Oryctolagus cuniculus: one gene and its partners. The protein of the gene in region 1 binds, or shares a complex with, the protein of each later gene. Links are inferred from orthologs where the notes say so. Each region holds a gene or a part of one and is shown in the gene's direction. Other genes may lie near its edges.

Region 1 (4,157 bases):
GACTCAAGAAGTCGGAAGATTGGAAGCCCTGAAGTACCTGTACGAGGTGTTTGGTTTCTCACGTGGGCATCAAAAGTGTGCTCTTGGTAAGGTAGCTGTAGGAATTTAACTCAGTTACTGATTTTCCCAGGCATGCAGAGATAATATGTGAATGCGATGTGTATTTTTGCAGGGTGAAAAGTCTAGGGGCAAATGTGTGTCACAGTATTACTATATTCATTTACTTATCAGGCATTGTTTCTTTTTTTCTTTTTTTTTGACAGGGAGAGTGGACAGTGAGAGAGAGAGACAGAGAGAAAGGTCTTCCTTTTGCCATTGGTTCACCCTCCAATGGCCGCCGCTGCCGGCGCACCGCGCTGATCCGAAGCCAAGAGCCAGGTGCCAGGTGCTTCTCCTGGTCTCCCATGGGGTGCAGGGCCCAAGCACTTGGGCCATCCTCCACTGCACTCCCTGGCCACAGCAGAGAGCTGGACTGGAAGAGGAGCAGCTGGGACAGAATCCGGCGCCCGGACCGGGACTAGAACCTGGAGTGCCGGCGCCGCAGGCGGAGGATTAGCCTAGTGAGCCTCGGCGCCGGCCCAGGCATTGTTTCATACCAGACCTTGGGCTACAATCAGAACTAGAGTGGTCGGCATGGAAGAGCACACAAACAGGCAAGACCAATACGTTTTCTTCTCTAGTTACAATCAAGGTGTTTTTTTTTTTTATGATTTATTTTATTTATTTAAAAGGCAGAGTTACAGAGCGACAGAGCTCTTCCACCTCCTGGTTCACTCCCCAAATGGCCTCCAAGGCAGGGGCTGAGCCAGACCCAAGCCAGGAGCCTGGAGCTTCATCCAGATCTCCCAGGCGGATGCAGGAACCCGAGGATTTGGACCATCCTCTGCTGCTTTCCCAGGTGAGCAGGGAGCTGGATGGGAAGTGGAGCAGCCGGCACTCGAACCACAGCAGCCTTACCCACTAGGCCACAACGCAGGTCCCCAAGAAGTTTTACTTTGAAGAAAAAGTACTTTTCCTGGTAAAGGTCAGCACACTTCTGAAGGTAGCGTCCGAAAAGAGCCCCACAAAGTAGTTTCCAAAGTCCCTCTGTTCAGCTCCCGTAATTCTCCAGGGATCCTATGAGAAGTATCTTGTAGTCCAGGGGTGCGACCGGAAGTGCAGGCTTCTCCAGTGGACTCAAGCTGGGCGTGGCTCACTGCCGACCCGCGGGCAGACCACGAGGCAGGTGCTCGGGTCCTGACACAATCACAGCCGCCTTGGGCGAGGAGCACCCGCCTGCTGGCAGAGACCCGGCTTCGCAGACTTGGGTGCAAGGCCAAACGACAGCCACGGCCGGAAGCGGAAATCCGGCCGTGGGCTGGCTGCTCCACTCGGAGACGGAAGCGGAAGTTGGGTACCGGAAGCAGTGTTTAGTGACGCCTACTATGGCTGAATCTGCGCCTGTCACAGCTGAGTCTCTCGCGGGCAGCGGGGCGCGGGCGGCGTGCACGGTTCTGAACCAGGTGGTGCTCCCAGGAGAGGAGCTGCTGCTGCCGGAACAGGAGGACGCAGACGGCGCTGGCGGGGCCGGGGAGCGGCCGTTACGCCTGAATGCCGGGGTGTGCTCGCGCGTGCGCGTGGTGTGCGGCCCGGGCTTGCGGCGCTCTGGCGATCGTCTTCTGGTCACCAAGTGCGGCCTCCTCCGCCACAAGGAGCCCAGCAGTGGCAGTGGCGGTGGCGTTTACTGGGTGGACTCGCAACAGAAGCGGGTGAGCTGGGATCCCGGGGGGGACGGGGAGGTGGGGGCGCGGCCGTGAGCATGGAAGAAGCCGCCGTGGGGCCTTGCAGTGTTAAGGCGGAGGGTGGGGGCGCTGCCGTGAGCGTGGAAGAGGCCGCCGAGGGGTCTTCCTGTGTTAGGGCGGGGGGTGGGGGCGCGGCCGTGAGCGTGGAAGAGGCCGCCGTGGGGCCTTGCAGTGTTAAGGCGGGGGGTGGGGGCGCGGCTGTGAGCGTGGAAGGGGCCGCCGAGGGGCCTTGTGTTAAGTCAGGGGTGGGGGGCGCGGCCGTGGTGCCTTGCTGCGTTAAGGCTGATTTGGAACCACCGTAGTGCAGGGCCCACCTCAGCAGCCACTGTATGTAGGACCATGAACAGTAGGGATGCAGCCTGACAGAGGCCTCTGGAGACTGAATCATGGTTATTGTCATTAAAATCCCAGTGGTTTTGGAACAGCAGGCTTGACCTTTGGCGTCCCAGCGAGCAGAACCAGGCTCAATGAGTGGCAGTTACAGGGAGTTAAATCGCTCTTAGGTGAGAACTTTCCTGGTAGGAAAAAGTGTCTAACAATGGAATGTGCTTTCCTGGTTCTAAGGATTCCAGTGCCACTGGACTTGGATGCAGCAGAAGCTAGGGACTTACTGGTAAATACTGGCTCAAATGAATAGAAGCTGTAGGGGCCACTTGTGGTGCAGCAGGTTAACGCCCTGGTCTGAAGCACCGGCATCCCTTATGGGCGCCCATTCGAGTCCCGGCTGCTCCTCTTCTGATCCAGCTCTTTGCTATGGCCTGGGAAAGCAGTAGAAGATGGCCCAAGTCATTGGGCCCCTGCACCTACATGGGAGACCTGGAGGAAGCTCCAGGCTCCTGGTTTTGGATCGGCGCAGCTCTGGCTGCTGTGGCCAACTGGGGAGTGACCCATCGGATGGAAGACCTCTCTCCCCCTTTCCCCCTCTTCCTCTATCCTCCTCTCTCCTTTCTGTGTAACTCTGATTCTCAAATAAAAATAAATAAATCTTTAAAAAAATGAATAGAAGCTGTAAATCTGAGAGTTTATACTGTGATCTCTCTTTTACTGAAAATGGCATATAATCAAACTTGTATGGGTTAACTTGTAAACTTGCATTTCGGAATATTTAAAATTATCTCTTTAATGACAACAACTAAGGCTAACTTGCTGGAGATATCTTGCAATGATAGCTTGCCATTTATGGCTGTTCTCTCAATTCTGTTTTGTAGTATGTTCCAGTGAAAGGAGACCACGTGATTGGCATAGTGACGGCTAAGTCTGGAGATATATTCAAAGTTGACGTTGGAGGGAGTGAGCCAGCTTCTTTGTCTTACTTGGCATTTGAAGGTGCAACGAAAAGAAACAGACCTAATGTGCAGGTAATGATGGCGCCTTTGACCCCTAGGACGTTCATTTATCCAGCAGCTGCCTGACCTGTCTCCAGAGCCTGGCCATTCTCCCAGCTGTGCGGGATCATCTCTGAGTGTTCGGGCTCTCAGAGTTCCTTCAGAGTCTGCAGGAGCAGAGGCACACACTTGGTTTATATTTGTGACGTTGGTTCCTGGGAGGCTTCACCTTGGAGGGGAGAGGTTCTGTTTTCTCCGCTGTTACCTGTTAGGTCCGTATCCACTGGCCAAGGTCAGGCACAGCCTTAGAGAGGGGGAAGGACAGGTGGTGCAGATCAGCAGCAGCTGTCTGTTCGCCCTGCAGAGGAGTCATCTTCTTACCTAAAGTTTGCAATTGGCCTTCTCAGGTCGCATAGCCACACCCTTCCTGTCTACCCAAGCCAGGAACTTGGTGGCTTCTTTGCCCTTTCACCTCTAGTCACTAGTTGCTTAATCCTATTTTGAGCCTACCTCCATCCCTTTGTCTCCACTTTGCAAGTTCAGGCCTTAAACCCCCGCCCCCACAACTGAAGTCAGTGAGTGATCCTATTAACTCCTTTACCTCCACCCTTTTACCCCATCCATAGAGGCTTTGGGGAGCTGATATCCCCTTTCTCAGACTAAAAGGAAGATTCTTCAAAGCCTGCAGAATTCCTCAGCGTTACCTCCTTCACAGCGTGCGTGAATCACACCATACTCTACTGAACTCAGTTTCCTGCCCGTGTATCTTGCTTGGGTCATTCAGGTTGTTCCCTGTCGGGATTGCACAGGCTCATCCTTTGGGATCTGGGGTGAACAGGACCATCTTTGTGAAGGCATTGCCAGTCATCACTTTTTTATCTTTGCTTTAGCACTTAACTGAATTTGGCCTCGAATGAAATCTAATCTGTGCATCCCAGCTGCACTCCAAGACCAAATGCTTCTGAAAGGCAGACAGTGTTTTGTTCCTCTCTAGGAACGTGGTCACTGACAAAAAGTAGATATTTAATGTTTCCTTGAGTGAACAGAACAG
Region 2 (4,279 bases), on another chromosome or scaffold:
ATGGACTTCTCCCCCGAGGCGAAGCAAAATTCCAAACATCATGTGCGTCTGAGGAAGGGGCAATCTCAGTGCAGAGAGAAGGGAACAGAGCAAAGGGCAGTTCTACTATTGCACCAAGCACCAACCGGAGTCCTCCTGTCAGCAGCAGCCACAGGCTCTCGTGGCCATCTGCCATCATATTACAGGAGACTACAGGCCAAGGCACCTCCCTCTTCCCAGGGCTCTAAAGCGCCATCTGTTCCCAAGGGGAAACCAATGGGGGGAGGCGAGGGGACAGATTCCAAAGCCACTGGAAGGGAGATGAAGCAGCCAACGTCAGGGGCAGGCGTCTGGCAGTGATTAACACCCTCCTTGGCCTCTCATTCTCAGTCTTCCATTCCAGCTCCCTGCTAATGCGCCTGGGAAAGTAGCAGAGGATGGCCCAAGTGCTTGGGTCCCTACACCCACGTGGGAGACCCGGAAGAAGCTCCTGGCTCCTGGCTGGCCCAGCCCTGGCCATTGCGGCCATTTAAGGAATGAGCCAGTGGATGGAAGATCTCTCTCCTCCTCTCCATGTCTTCCTTTCAAATTAATTAATTAAAAAAAAAAAAATCCTGCTTCCATTGCATATGGAAGATCTCTGTCTCTGTGTCAAATAAATTTAAAAAAATATCAAAGTCGTGCCAATCTCATCTAGACAAAGATGCTGCTCTCAGGATGTGTGCAAGCTCATGCAAGAGATGTCAGAAGTCAGTAAAGAATAGCAACTTACTCACGTGCCCACTTCCCTTCCTGGCTAACCCGCTAAGAGAAAGGGTAGCAACTTTCTCACGGGTCAGTTCGTCAAAAGTTAAAGAAGGGCCCGGACAACTACAGCTGCAGAACGAGCCTTATCTTTCAGGTAGGGCGGCATGGTCAAACCGCGATGCACTGGAAGCCGAAAGCTTGGATCCGGCTTGCGCTCTATCTTGAATTATCTTCAAGGCTCGGGACAAGTCAAACCCTGGCGTTGGATTTCCAAATCTGAGAAATGGGCAAGTTGGGTTGGTTAACTTCTGCTCTGTGCGTTATGGTTGCCCAGAGGGTGCGCCTCGCCCGAGGACTGCTCGGCCTTGCAGGGCGGGGCGAGGAGAGCAAGAAACCAGACTCAAGACAGGGCCCTGGGGCAGGGCCCGACCCTACAAAACAGGGGCTATGAGAGGGAGCAAGGGCCACGGCTTCGCCCCTACCTGCCGCCTGCCAATTCCTCGATCATCCAAATCACGCCCCGCAGCCTCGGCCGCAGCTCACTGCCACCTACTCCAGCCTGGCGCCCCGGGCGGGCCTGGCTCAATCCGTCCCACCATGCCCCGCCAGCCGCAGCGCCTGCCAATGGACCCGGACCCGCCGCCTGCCCATCCTCAACCCTAGGCGCAGGCGCAGGCGCAGGCACACGAGCCCGAAGTTCCGCCCCCGGCCTTCTCCCGGGGAAACCTGGGAAATGGAGTTTGCCCTGCAGGAGGCGTGTCGCCGGGCACGTGACAAAGCCCGCCAATTGGCACGTTCCTTACTGCAGCACTGTGTCTGGGTTCGGCCAACGAGACGTCGGCTTCGTTTCCATCCGGGCTCTGGGACAGTGGCAGTCATGGCGCCACCTGTAAGGTACTGCATCCCCGGTAAGTGCACGGCTCCCGTACGGAGTCCCGGCTAGGGCCAGAGGCAGGAAGGCAGGACGCCTAGCAGCCTCTGGGGACCAGTGACCGATGCAGCGCTCTTTCCGCAGGCGAACGTCTGTGTAACTTGGAGGAGGGCAGCCCAGGCAGCGGCACCTACACACGGCACGGATACATCTTTTCTTCCCTCGCCGGCTGTCTAACGAAGACCAGCGAGAACGGCGCGGTACGCGGGGCGGCTGGCCATCTCCCTTCTTTGTCATGGACTGCCCTTGAGTTCCGGCCCTTAGGCCCGGGTAGGGCAGGCGCGTCCCTGTAGAACGACTTGGTCTCGGTTGGCCGTGGGCGCCGCACACCGGTCGTGTGGACCTCGCGCGGTTGGGGCTGCCGACCCCTAGGGGCAGCTGCGAGCTGAGAGTGACCCCGGCCAATCCGGCAGCCAGCCGAATCCCGCCCGAGTAGTCCCGACCTGTCCGTCTTCATCCGGCTCGGCGGCACTGCCCGCAGTGCAGTTGGCTTGCTTCCCCCGTGTCTCCTGCCATCCGCCTGAACGCGCGCCTCTCCTCGGTCTATGTAACTCTGACCTCGTTCAACTAGCCTCTCGTATCACTTTTTGGAAGGGATTTTGGCGGGGGTGGGGGTGGGGGAGGTTGAGTCTTGTTTTTATTTTGTTAAACTCACTTCCGAGCACTTGTTTCAGCCTGCAAACGCCCAAAGTTCCACGCAAGCAGGCCGCACCACCCACCTTACCTGCAGTGCCCGGCACAAGGCAGATGGTCAGTTGAATACATGAGCGATGTTGTCCTGGCCAGTTCCAGAGATCAAACCAGGACCAGCTCCCGATCAGATACGCAGTCTTGGAAGGAGCAGCTTAAAGATGGGTAGCACAGGAGAAAAAGGATTCAGAATTAGAACGTGCTTGCTCAGAAAGAAAGCCCTACAGATATTCTCTAAAGATAGAAGGAAACCAGTATCCAGTATTATAAAACACTTAGAAATGTTAGCCGGGCAATAAAATAAGAAATAGAAACAGTGCGACTTTGGAGGTCAGAATCAAATCCATGGCTACAGGTAATATAGTGGTGTACTGAGAAATTCCAAGTCACCAAAAAACCAACTCTGCTCTGGAATGGTTAACTTATGTCTTCTACAGCAGCCTTGCCAGGGCCCCCGGGGCTCTTCCTAATGGAAGACCCTCTGTCCTGGACTGTAAATGAATCCATAGTCCATCTGCCTTGTGACCTCAACTCTGTGCCACAGCATTCCTGTCGAACTCTCCAGCCACACTTTACTCAGGGCTTAGCCAGAACATTCATTTTTTACTGTTCTCTTTGTAGCTCCCGGTAGTGTCTGTGATGAGAGAAGCGGAATCCCAATTACTTCCAGATGTGGGCTCTATTGTAACATGTAAGGTAAGTTGTTACCAGCCTCCATGCTTAGGACACCAACCCAGTGCACAGAGCATGATCATTCTTGAACTGCATTGTCCAGTCTGATAGCCACTAGCCTCATATGGCTATTTAAATTTAACAGTGTCAGGGCAAGCATATGACCTAGCGGCTAAGACATCGTTGAAGTACCTGTATCGCATGTTGGAATGCTTGGGTTTGATCCCTGGCTCCATCTGCTGACTTCAGTTTCCTGCTAATGCAGTCTCTGGCAGGCAGCAGGTGGTGGCCCAAGTAGTTAGGCTACTACCACCATGTGGGAGACCTGGATTAAGTACTTGACTCCCAGCCTCAGCCACTGCAGGCACTTAAGGAATAAATCAGTGGGTGGAAGTGTTCTCTTTCTTTCTGTCTCTCAAATAAATATTTCAAAATATGCTAGACAGTACTAACATTTCATTAAGCATACTAACCACTCGCCACATTTCCAGCTCTCAGTAGCTACTGTGGCTAGTGGTTGCTAATTTGGTCAGCACATGGTATTTCTATCATCACAGAATGTCTCACTGGACTGAGTGGTCTGGAGATTTCTAGGAAAATGAACAAAATTTGGGTATGCATAGTTATTTGAGCCGATTCCCTGACTTTGTGGTTCCCTCCAACATCTAGGAAATGGGTGAAAAGGAGACCTAATTTTGAACATCTGTGGCTGCGGCCTTTTTCTGCAGAGAAGCAAAAGACTTTATTCTCTGGAATTCCTATTAAATGTAAAGTCTTTTTTTTTTTTTTTTTTTTTTTGACAGGCAGAGTAGACAGTGAGAGAGAGAGACAGAGAGAAAGGTCTTCCTTTGCCGTTGGTTCACCCTCCAATGGCCGCCGCAGCTAGCATGCTGCGGCCGGCGCACAGCGCTGATCCGAAGCCAGGAGCCAGGTGCTTCTCCTGGTCTCCCATGGGGTGCAGGGCCCAAGCACCTGGGTCATCCTCCACTGCACTCCCGGGCCACAGCAGAGAGCTGGCCTGGAAGAGGGGCAACCGGGACAGAATCTGGTGCCCCAACTGGGACTAGAACCTGGTGTGCCGGCGCCACAGGCGGAGGATTAGCCTAGTGAGCCGCGGCGCCGGCCGAGTCTTTTTTTTTTTTAAGATTTTATTTGTTTATTTGAAGGGGCAGAGTTAGAGAGAGAGAGATGGGAAAAGATCTTGCATCTGCTTGTTCACTCCCCAAATGGCTGCAATGGCCAGGTCTAGGCCAGACCAAA
Region 3 (4,200 bases), on another chromosome or scaffold:
GTCCAAACGCCCTCGGGGTGGGGTGAGGGCAGAACTGCAGAGGCTGCAGGTGCAGGAAAAGCAAGTCTGGAAGATGGAAGCATAGGTCGAGGCTGGCAAGCTGGGTGGGCAGGGGGTCTCGGACCAGGGGGCGAGCAAGGCCGGGACGAGTGTATGGGTTGGTGAGTCCAACGTGGCAAAGTTTACAGGGTCCCGGGCACAGAGTTCCAAGGACAGGAGGAACTGAAATCCAGGAGATGGAACTGGAGTCAAGCGGGGAGAAAACGGACTAGTTCAAGAAGCCGCAGCACCCAAAGAGCGGACGCCCTGGGCGCCTGCGGCTGCAGGGGAACGGGGAGCCCAGGCCCGCGCCGCTCCCGACCCCTGTCCTCACCAGTATGAGTGCTGCGGCCGCAAGCGCCACGCCGAGCACCGCCAGCTGCAGCAGGAGCGGAGCCATCCTCCATGCCGGGGCCGTCTCCGCCGCCCTCCCTATCCCGCAGCTCCACACACGCGGAAGTGCGCCCGCGCGGGCCCGCCTCCCGCCGCCAGAGAGGCCGCGGCGGCCGGGCGCCCTCCGCCCACAGCGCCCCCGCGCGGCCACGGCCGGCCGCGACCCGGGCAGGCGCCGACGGCGAGGACGCGCCGCGCGGCTGGGCCAGGCGCTGCATCCGCGGAGAGGCCGCAGACTGCAGGGCGAGCTGCGTTCGGTAAGTCAGGTGCACGAGACGTCCGCTTGAGTTTCAGCTCAACAACTAATAATTTTAACGGCCTTGAACTATGTAACTCGCATACGGTGCAGTCCACGCATTTAGAGGTATGGGTTCTATTACTATTTTAAAATTCAGGTTAAACAGATTTGGCCGTTTTAACCATGTGGAGTGCACAGTAGAGTGGTGTTGATTACCTTCGGAACTCTGTGCAACCATGTCTATAGCTAAAACTTGCCCTGTTCATCCCAGCTCCTACTGACAACTAAGGACATGCACTCCTACTAGAATGGTCAACCTTGTTTTCCCAATCTTCATTCAGATTTAGTTGGGTGGCCTGTACTGGACCTGGCAACCCTGCCTGGGAGGCAGGACATGGTGGATTAACGCACACTGCTCCAGCTCCTGGGCTTGCACAGTGTAACCTGGAGAGCAGCACGCATTTCCGAGGTGCAGGAGCTGGCAGCCCCTCACCTGGGCCTCGCCTGAGATGGGGAAGAGACACGGGAGCTGCGCACGCACTGTGCAGCCCTTGGTATAAGCTGTTGTCTCTTAAACTGCTGGCGTTATTCTGAACCCTCAACCTTTCCTAAAGAACACCCTTTCACTTCTCTGATGCCAGATTCGTCAAAATACGTGCAAGGCAAGGAAACCTAGAGGCGCATCCGGCTCGGGAAGGCCAAGGCCAAGCGAGCGCCACCACGATACCGCGCCGCCAAGCGCACCTCCAGCGGCTGCGGGAAGGCCCCGGCGACCGCCGGGACGTGAGAGCTCTGCGCAGGCGCGCGTGCCGGTGGGCGGAGCGGCGCAGGCGCAGGCGCGCGCGCGGGGAAGATGGCGGCCGGGTTCAAGTGAGTGTCAGTGTCTGGCGGGCCCGAGTTGTGGACTCTGGCGCTTGGGGGTTTCCCCAACCCTTAGTTAAGATTTTTCTCGCCTGGAAGTCGACCCCGCCAAGGTCCCGTTTTTTTCCCCGCCAAAGCAGGCGACAGGCGGGAGGACCTGGAGGTGCCCCTGAGTGGAGACTGGGGATGTAGGGACTGGAGCGCGTGTGAGCCCGCGGTGCAGGGAACGCGCACCCGGGGGACAGTTCTGTAGCCCCGCAAAGATTGTTGCATCGAGCCCCCTGTGCCCGGTCCTCCGGGTCGCGTAGTGTGTTTCCGAGGGTTGTGCGTCCTTCAAAAGGTTTGACTTCAAGCCTTTTTTGGGTGCTATTCTGTTGAAGCCTATTGACTCTCCGAGTAAGATGTTTTCTAAGGTTTTTTTTTTTTTTTTTTTCACTTGGGAGACATATGGATAGAGCTATCCATCCTCTGGTCCACTCCTCAGATGTCTGAAGCTGGGAGCTGGACAGTCCCCTCCAGGTTTCCCACGTGGGTGGCAGGAACCCAAGTACTTGAGCCAGCCCCTGGGTTCCAAAGGAAACAAATCATATTGAAGTTATTATAAACTCTTTAGGATATAAAATTAGCTTTCTTAAGTAGTAGGGCGTCCAGTAACTCCGGGAATTTCAGAGTAAAGATGAACCTCAACATGCACATGAAAGTAAAAAATCAGAACATTATCTCTGCTAAAGTTGTAGGTACTGCTGTTATTATAATGGTTTATTGCATGTTTGCAGTCATAACTGAACTCTATGCTAAAGTGTATGCTGAATTTCAGTTACAATAAATGAAGATGTGGCTTTTTTCATGATCACTAGGTTAAGAATCCCTGTCTCAGAGCAAAAGTGATTATTAAATGATTATTTTAACTCATAAATTAATCCTCTTTCAGACATGTCAAAGGACTCTGGATTCCAGTGCTCTGTTTGTTTAAGACAGTTAAAGGCAGCAATGGGGTGTGATTGCTACTGTAAGGGTATATACTTTTTATAATTACAAGGTTACTTCAAAAGGTTCATGGAAAATAAAAGAAAAATTTATTTTCATGCTCCAAATTTTGAAATCCATGTAGTTTTTCTAATACACACTTTTTTTAAAACTTTTTGAAGATTCCCCCATACTTGCAGGCAGCAACATGAACATCAAAATGCGCAAAAGAAACTTAGTTACAAGTTGTGGAGGTTTATGCTGTATCACATTTTAAAATTCTTTGCCAGTTAAGACTCATTAATTTACTTCAGTATTAACGTGTTTCAGAACTGTGGAACCTTTGGAGTATTACAGAAGATTTCTGGTGAGTAAAGGTGGTTATGTATGTGCTATTTTGATAATATATTATTACAGTATATATAATATGTAATATTCTTTTAAAGACATATTCCAAGTAATTTAAATTCATTTGCATTAATGGGGTTTAATGTGTCTCCCCTGGTGTGTGTAAAATACACATGACAATATAACATAATCTCTTATAAGTAAACTTTCTATTTAGAAAGAGAATTGTCGCCCTGATGGAAGAGAACTTGGTGAATTCAGAACCACAACCGTTAATATAGGTGAGGATGTGTTTTCCAGCTACAACTGTATGACATTTGCAAGTTTTAGCCTTCTGAACCACATACATGGTTTTTGAGCCAAATTTATCATATCCGAGGGATTTTTTTTTTTTTTTTTGACAGGCAGAGTGGACAGTGAGAGAGAGAGACAGAGAGAAAGGTCTTCCTTTGCCGTTGGTTCACCCTCAAATGGCCACTGCGGCCAGTGCACCGTACTAATGCGAAGCCAGGAGCCAGGTGCTTCTCCTGGTCTCCCATGCGCGTGCAGGGCTCAAGGACTTGGGCCATCCTCCACTGCCTTCCCGGGCCACAGCAGAGAGCTGGCCTGGAAGAGGGGCAGCCGGGACTAGAACCCAGTGTGCCGGTGCCGCAGGTGGAGGATTAGCCTATTGAGCCGTGGCGCTGGCCAATGATTTTCTGTACTATTCAGACTGAAAAATTGATTCAAATTCAAGGATAGGTGAATAATTCTAAAAACATTAATTTAATTTGTTATACCATTTTAAAATCAGTTATTCAAACTTGGAATCAGTTTTTGCAAGCAACAGATACGTAGCAAGATAATTACACATGGCAAACATGAGACACAGAGTTTTAATACTTATTTAGGTAATTCTGTAACTTTTCCTTTTAGAGACTAATCATTCTGTTTACTTTTCAGGTTCAATTAGTACTGCAGATGGTTCTGCTTTAGTGAAGCTGGGAAATACTACAGTAATTTGTGGAATTAAAGCAGTAAGTTTAACATGTGTCCCATTGAGATTTGAGCTACCAAATTAGCTTCCTGTATTTATTAAATTGTAATATACACCTATACCTCTGTGATTAGGCATTCAGGTATGTTTTTTAGTATTTAGTTGCTCAAAAAGCTTTTACCAGTGAGTACTAGATCATATGACTCAAGTTTAATGACTCTTACGCAAATCTGTCAAATGTACTAAAATGAAGCAACTTTTTCAATCCTCATCCTTAATTTTAAATAATATATCAGTTAAGAAATTGAGGGAAGTGTTTGGTGATGCCTTTTAATAGTGAGTGATGGTATGTAATCTGCATAAATGTGTAGAAAATTGA
Region 4 (3,056 bases), on another chromosome or scaffold:
TCTAGAACCACTGGCCCAGGATCGCTGTCTACCTGTGTCAAGTTCACATCCAGAAATGCAGTTCTTTGCTGACCCGAGGCTTCTGGGTCTGCAGGTGGGCACTTGTGCTGCAGAGAATAAAGGACCATGTGCAATACTCATTGATGCCTTCTGGTCATTACCTCCCAGCATGCACCCCTGCTGACAGCTCTTGGCTACCCGAGGGTGTGTAAAACATGCTGACTCCAGCTCAGTCCAGCCCTAAACCCTTGAACTCAGTGTTTGTGGAGACGGGGGTGAGATGGAGAGAGAGGCTCTAATAATTCAGTGGTCCGAGGGGTTACAAAGCAAAGGTGCGCCTGGAGAACCTCCATTGTTTTTTTCTTTTAAAGATTGATTGATTTGAAGGGCAGAGTTACAGAAAAGCAGAGAGAGAGAGGTCTTCCATCCACTGGTTCACTACCCAAAGGGCTGCAGTGGCCGGAGCTGTGCTGATCCGAAGCCAGGAGCTTCCTCCAGGTCTCCCACGCGTGTGCAGGGGCCCAAGCACTTGGGCCATCTTCCACTGCTTTCCCAGGCCATAGCAGAGAGCTGGATTGGAGCAGCTGGTCTCAAACTGGTGCTCACATCGGATGCCAGCCCTGCAGGCGGCGGCTCTGGCTCATGTCCCTCCCCTCCCTCTGAAGCTCTTCATGTGGGGTCAGGGTATGAGGCTGGAGGGCAGTCTCTGGTACAGAAGATGTTTAAGGTGCAGCTATTGCCTCCTACTCTAGTGTCTGCCCATCACTCCCACTTGACCCAAAGACACTGGCCGGTCTCTGAGTCCAGTTTCCCCAAGTCTAAAATGGCAGAGTTTGGAAGGTGAAGGTACTGCTTGCCTGTGCCAGCCCCAACGGATGTCCTGTCCTCTGGATACAGCGGCTGGCCCCAGAGCCCAGGTCACGGTGCTGCTGACAGTGGAGGGAGAAGGAAAAGCAGGTGCATGCTGGGGTGAGGGGCGGTTCTCAGGGTGGGAAGGGGAGGCAGAAAGGGGGTGTTGATGTCCGTGTTAATGATACAAAGAGACTTACATAAAGCCAGTGCTGGAGAGAGATTCCATCCATCATATAGGCCTTCGTGCCAGCCAGGGGCTTGGGAGTGAGCAAGGCCAACTCCCCGGTGGGGACATATAAAATAGTCCCACAGATTAGTGCAAAACTAAGATAACTACAGCCTGCATAAGTGAGAAGACTAAGCGCTCGGGTAGGACCTGGCCTGGGAGACAGTCAACCGGCCCGTCCAGCCCTGGGCAACCTTGCTGCGGCTTCAAAGCCTTGGCGCCGCAGCCGTTCTCCCTCCACGGCGCCAGGGGGCAGTGCAGCCGCGACTGCCTGCGGCTCTCCCGACAGCCCCCGCGCGAGCGCGCGTCTTCAAGCGGGCGGAAGAGCCGGAGCGCGCGGTAGGACGACGGGCGGAAGCGGTGTGCTCGCCAGGTGCCGCCATGCCCGGGGACCACCGCCGCATCCGCGGACCAGACGAGTCGCAGCCGCCGCAGCTGTACGCCGCCGACGAGGAAGAGGAGCCCGCCGCCCGAGACCCGACGCGGCTGCGGCCGGTGTACGCGCGCGCCGGGCTGCTGAGCCAGGCCAAGGGCTCGGCCTACCTGGAGGCGGGAGGCACCAAGGTGCTGTGCGCCGTGTCGGGCCCACGCCAGGTCGAGGGCAGCGAGCGAGGGAGCGGCCCTGCCGGCGCCGGCGGCGAGGCCCCGGCCGCGCTGCGCGGCCGCCTGGTCTGCGATTTCCGCCGTGCGCCTTTCTCGGGCCGCCGGCGCCGGGCGCCTCCGGGCGGCGGCGAGGAGCGCGAGCTGGCCCTGGCGTTGCAGGAGGCGCTGGAGCCGGCCGTGCGCCTGAGCCGCTACCCGCGCGCGCAGCTCGAGGTGTCGGCGCTGCTGCTGGAGGACGGCGGCTCGGCGCTGGCCGCCGCCCTCACGGCCGCCGCCCTCGCCCTGGCCGACGCGGGCGTCGAGATGTACGACCTGGTGGTGGGCTGCGGCCTGAGCCGCGCGCAGGGGCCCACGCCCGCCTGGCTGCTGGACCCGACGCGGCTGGAGGAGGAGCGCGCCGCCGCCGGCCTCACCGTGGCCCTCATGCCGGTGCTCAACCAGGTGGCCGGGCTGCTGGGCAGCGGGGAGGGCGACGCGACCGAGACTTGGGCCGAAGCCGTGCGGCTGGGCCTCGAGGGCTGCCAGCGACTCTACCCGGTGCTGCAGCAGTGCCTGGTGCGGGCCGCCCGCCGCAGGGGCGCCGCCCTGCCCTGAGCCGGCGGGCGAAGTGGAGCCGCGAGCGGACAGAGCGTGCGGAGATGGACAGTTGCGTTGGAACGGCTGTCGACAGACGAACGTTTGACGATCTTTCCAGTCCCCAGCCAGAAGCCAGCGCAGGAAGCCGCGGGCTGCTTGCTTACTCCCGAGCTGGGAAGGACTTGAGCCGGCCTGGTCCGGAGCGCGGGATCTGTGTGACTCCGGAGACGATGGACAGGGCGCTGCGCCTTCTCACAGCGGGACTGAAACAACAAAACCGTTTTTTTTTGTATTCGAAATACGCGTGTCGTGGTTCTTAGTACAGGATTTTCAGAGAGAGCAAGGCTCCCTGGCGGTGAGGCTCAGGACAGCACTGCCCCGCCTGTGTCGTGTCCCTTGGACCGGTGAGCCGACCAGACGGGCCAGAATCCTGAAGCAGCTGCGGGTTTAGAAGTGGGCCGTGTGCTTGGCAGGAAGACACGCCGCCGCCTCCGGTGCCCGTGAGGGCGGCTGCTGCGCCGGGAGGAGAGTTGGACGGCCCGGGAGCACTCGGGGGTCCCGGAGCTCATGGCTGTGCCGCGAGAGGCCCCAGCGCAGGGTTCCCGAGAGCTGGAAAGGGTTTTGCTGGGGGTGGAAGCCGGATCCCAGCCTTCCGTGGCCAGGGCCACAGCAGTCCAGTCAAAGGCCTGCACTGCCGCTGAGTGGGCCCCTGGGCTGCCTTCATCTGCCCGTTGTCCAGCCTGAGCCCCTGGGGAGAGGGCGGGTGAACTGGCTTCTGGGAAAGCAGAGGAGCATGGCT

What was found. Proteins that work in one complex are often made in the same cells at the same time.
Region 2: EXOSC3 (region 1) and EXOSC1 share a complex: the UniProt entries of both Homo sapiens proteins name them as parts of the RNA exosome core complex. The link is inferred for Oryctolagus cuniculus from reciprocal best matches to the Homo sapiens genes EXOSC3 and EXOSC1.
Region 3: EXOSC3 (region 1) and EXOSC8 share a complex: the UniProt entries of both Homo sapiens proteins name them as parts of the RNA exosome core complex. The link is inferred for Oryctolagus cuniculus from reciprocal best matches to the Homo sapiens genes EXOSC3 and EXOSC8.
Region 4: EXOSC3 (region 1) and EXOSC6 share a complex: the UniProt entries of both Homo sapiens proteins name them as parts of the RNA exosome core complex. The link is inferred for Oryctolagus cuniculus from reciprocal best matches to the Homo sapiens genes EXOSC3 and EXOSC6.

What each region holds. Positions count from the first base shown.
Region 1 is NC_091432.1:200,611,408-200,615,564, reverse strand, and holds the start of EXOSC3 (exosome complex component RRP40), read left to right. Parts: upstream 1-1,357; 5' UTR 1,358-1,424; coding exon 1,425-1,748; intron 1,749-2,989; coding exon 2,990-3,139; intron 3,140-4,157. UniProt on the Homo sapiens protein: Non-catalytic component of the RNA exosome complex which has 3'->5' exoribonuclease activity and participates in a multitude of cellular RNA processing and degradation events.
Region 2 is NC_091446.1:32,396,796-32,401,074, forward strand, and holds the start of EXOSC1 (exosome complex component CSL4), read left to right. Parts: upstream 1-1,479; 5' UTR 1,480-1,603; coding exon 1,604-1,634; intron 1,635-1,741; coding exon 1,742-1,857; intron 1,858-2,968; coding exon 2,969-3,043; intron 3,044-4,279. UniProt on the Homo sapiens protein: Non-catalytic component of the RNA exosome complex which has 3'->5' exoribonuclease activity and participates in a multitude of cellular RNA processing and degradation events.
Region 3 is NC_091440.1:77,082,283-77,086,482, reverse strand, and holds the start of EXOSC8 (exosome complex component RRP43), read left to right. Parts: upstream 1-1,400; 5' UTR 1,401-1,523; coding exon 1,524-1,540; intron 1,541-2,811; coding exon of another isoform or gene 2,812-2,827; coding exon 2,828-2,864; intron 2,865-3,062; coding exon 3,063-3,126; intron 3,127-3,787; coding exon 3,788-3,861; intron 3,862-4,200. Other genes in the region: ALG5 (dolichyl-phosphate beta-glucosyltransferase), read right to left, coding at 374-650. UniProt on the Homo sapiens protein: Non-catalytic component of the RNA exosome complex which has 3'->5' exoribonuclease activity and participates in a multitude of cellular RNA processing and degradation events.
Region 4 is NC_091449.1:56,939,808-56,942,863, forward strand, and holds EXOSC6 (exosome complex component MTR3), read left to right. Parts: upstream 1-1,385; 5' UTR 1,386-1,459; coding exon 1,460-2,275; 3' UTR 2,276-2,556; downstream 2,557-3,056. UniProt on the Homo sapiens protein: Non-catalytic component of the RNA exosome complex which has 3'->5' exoribonuclease activity and participates in a multitude of cellular RNA processing and degradation events.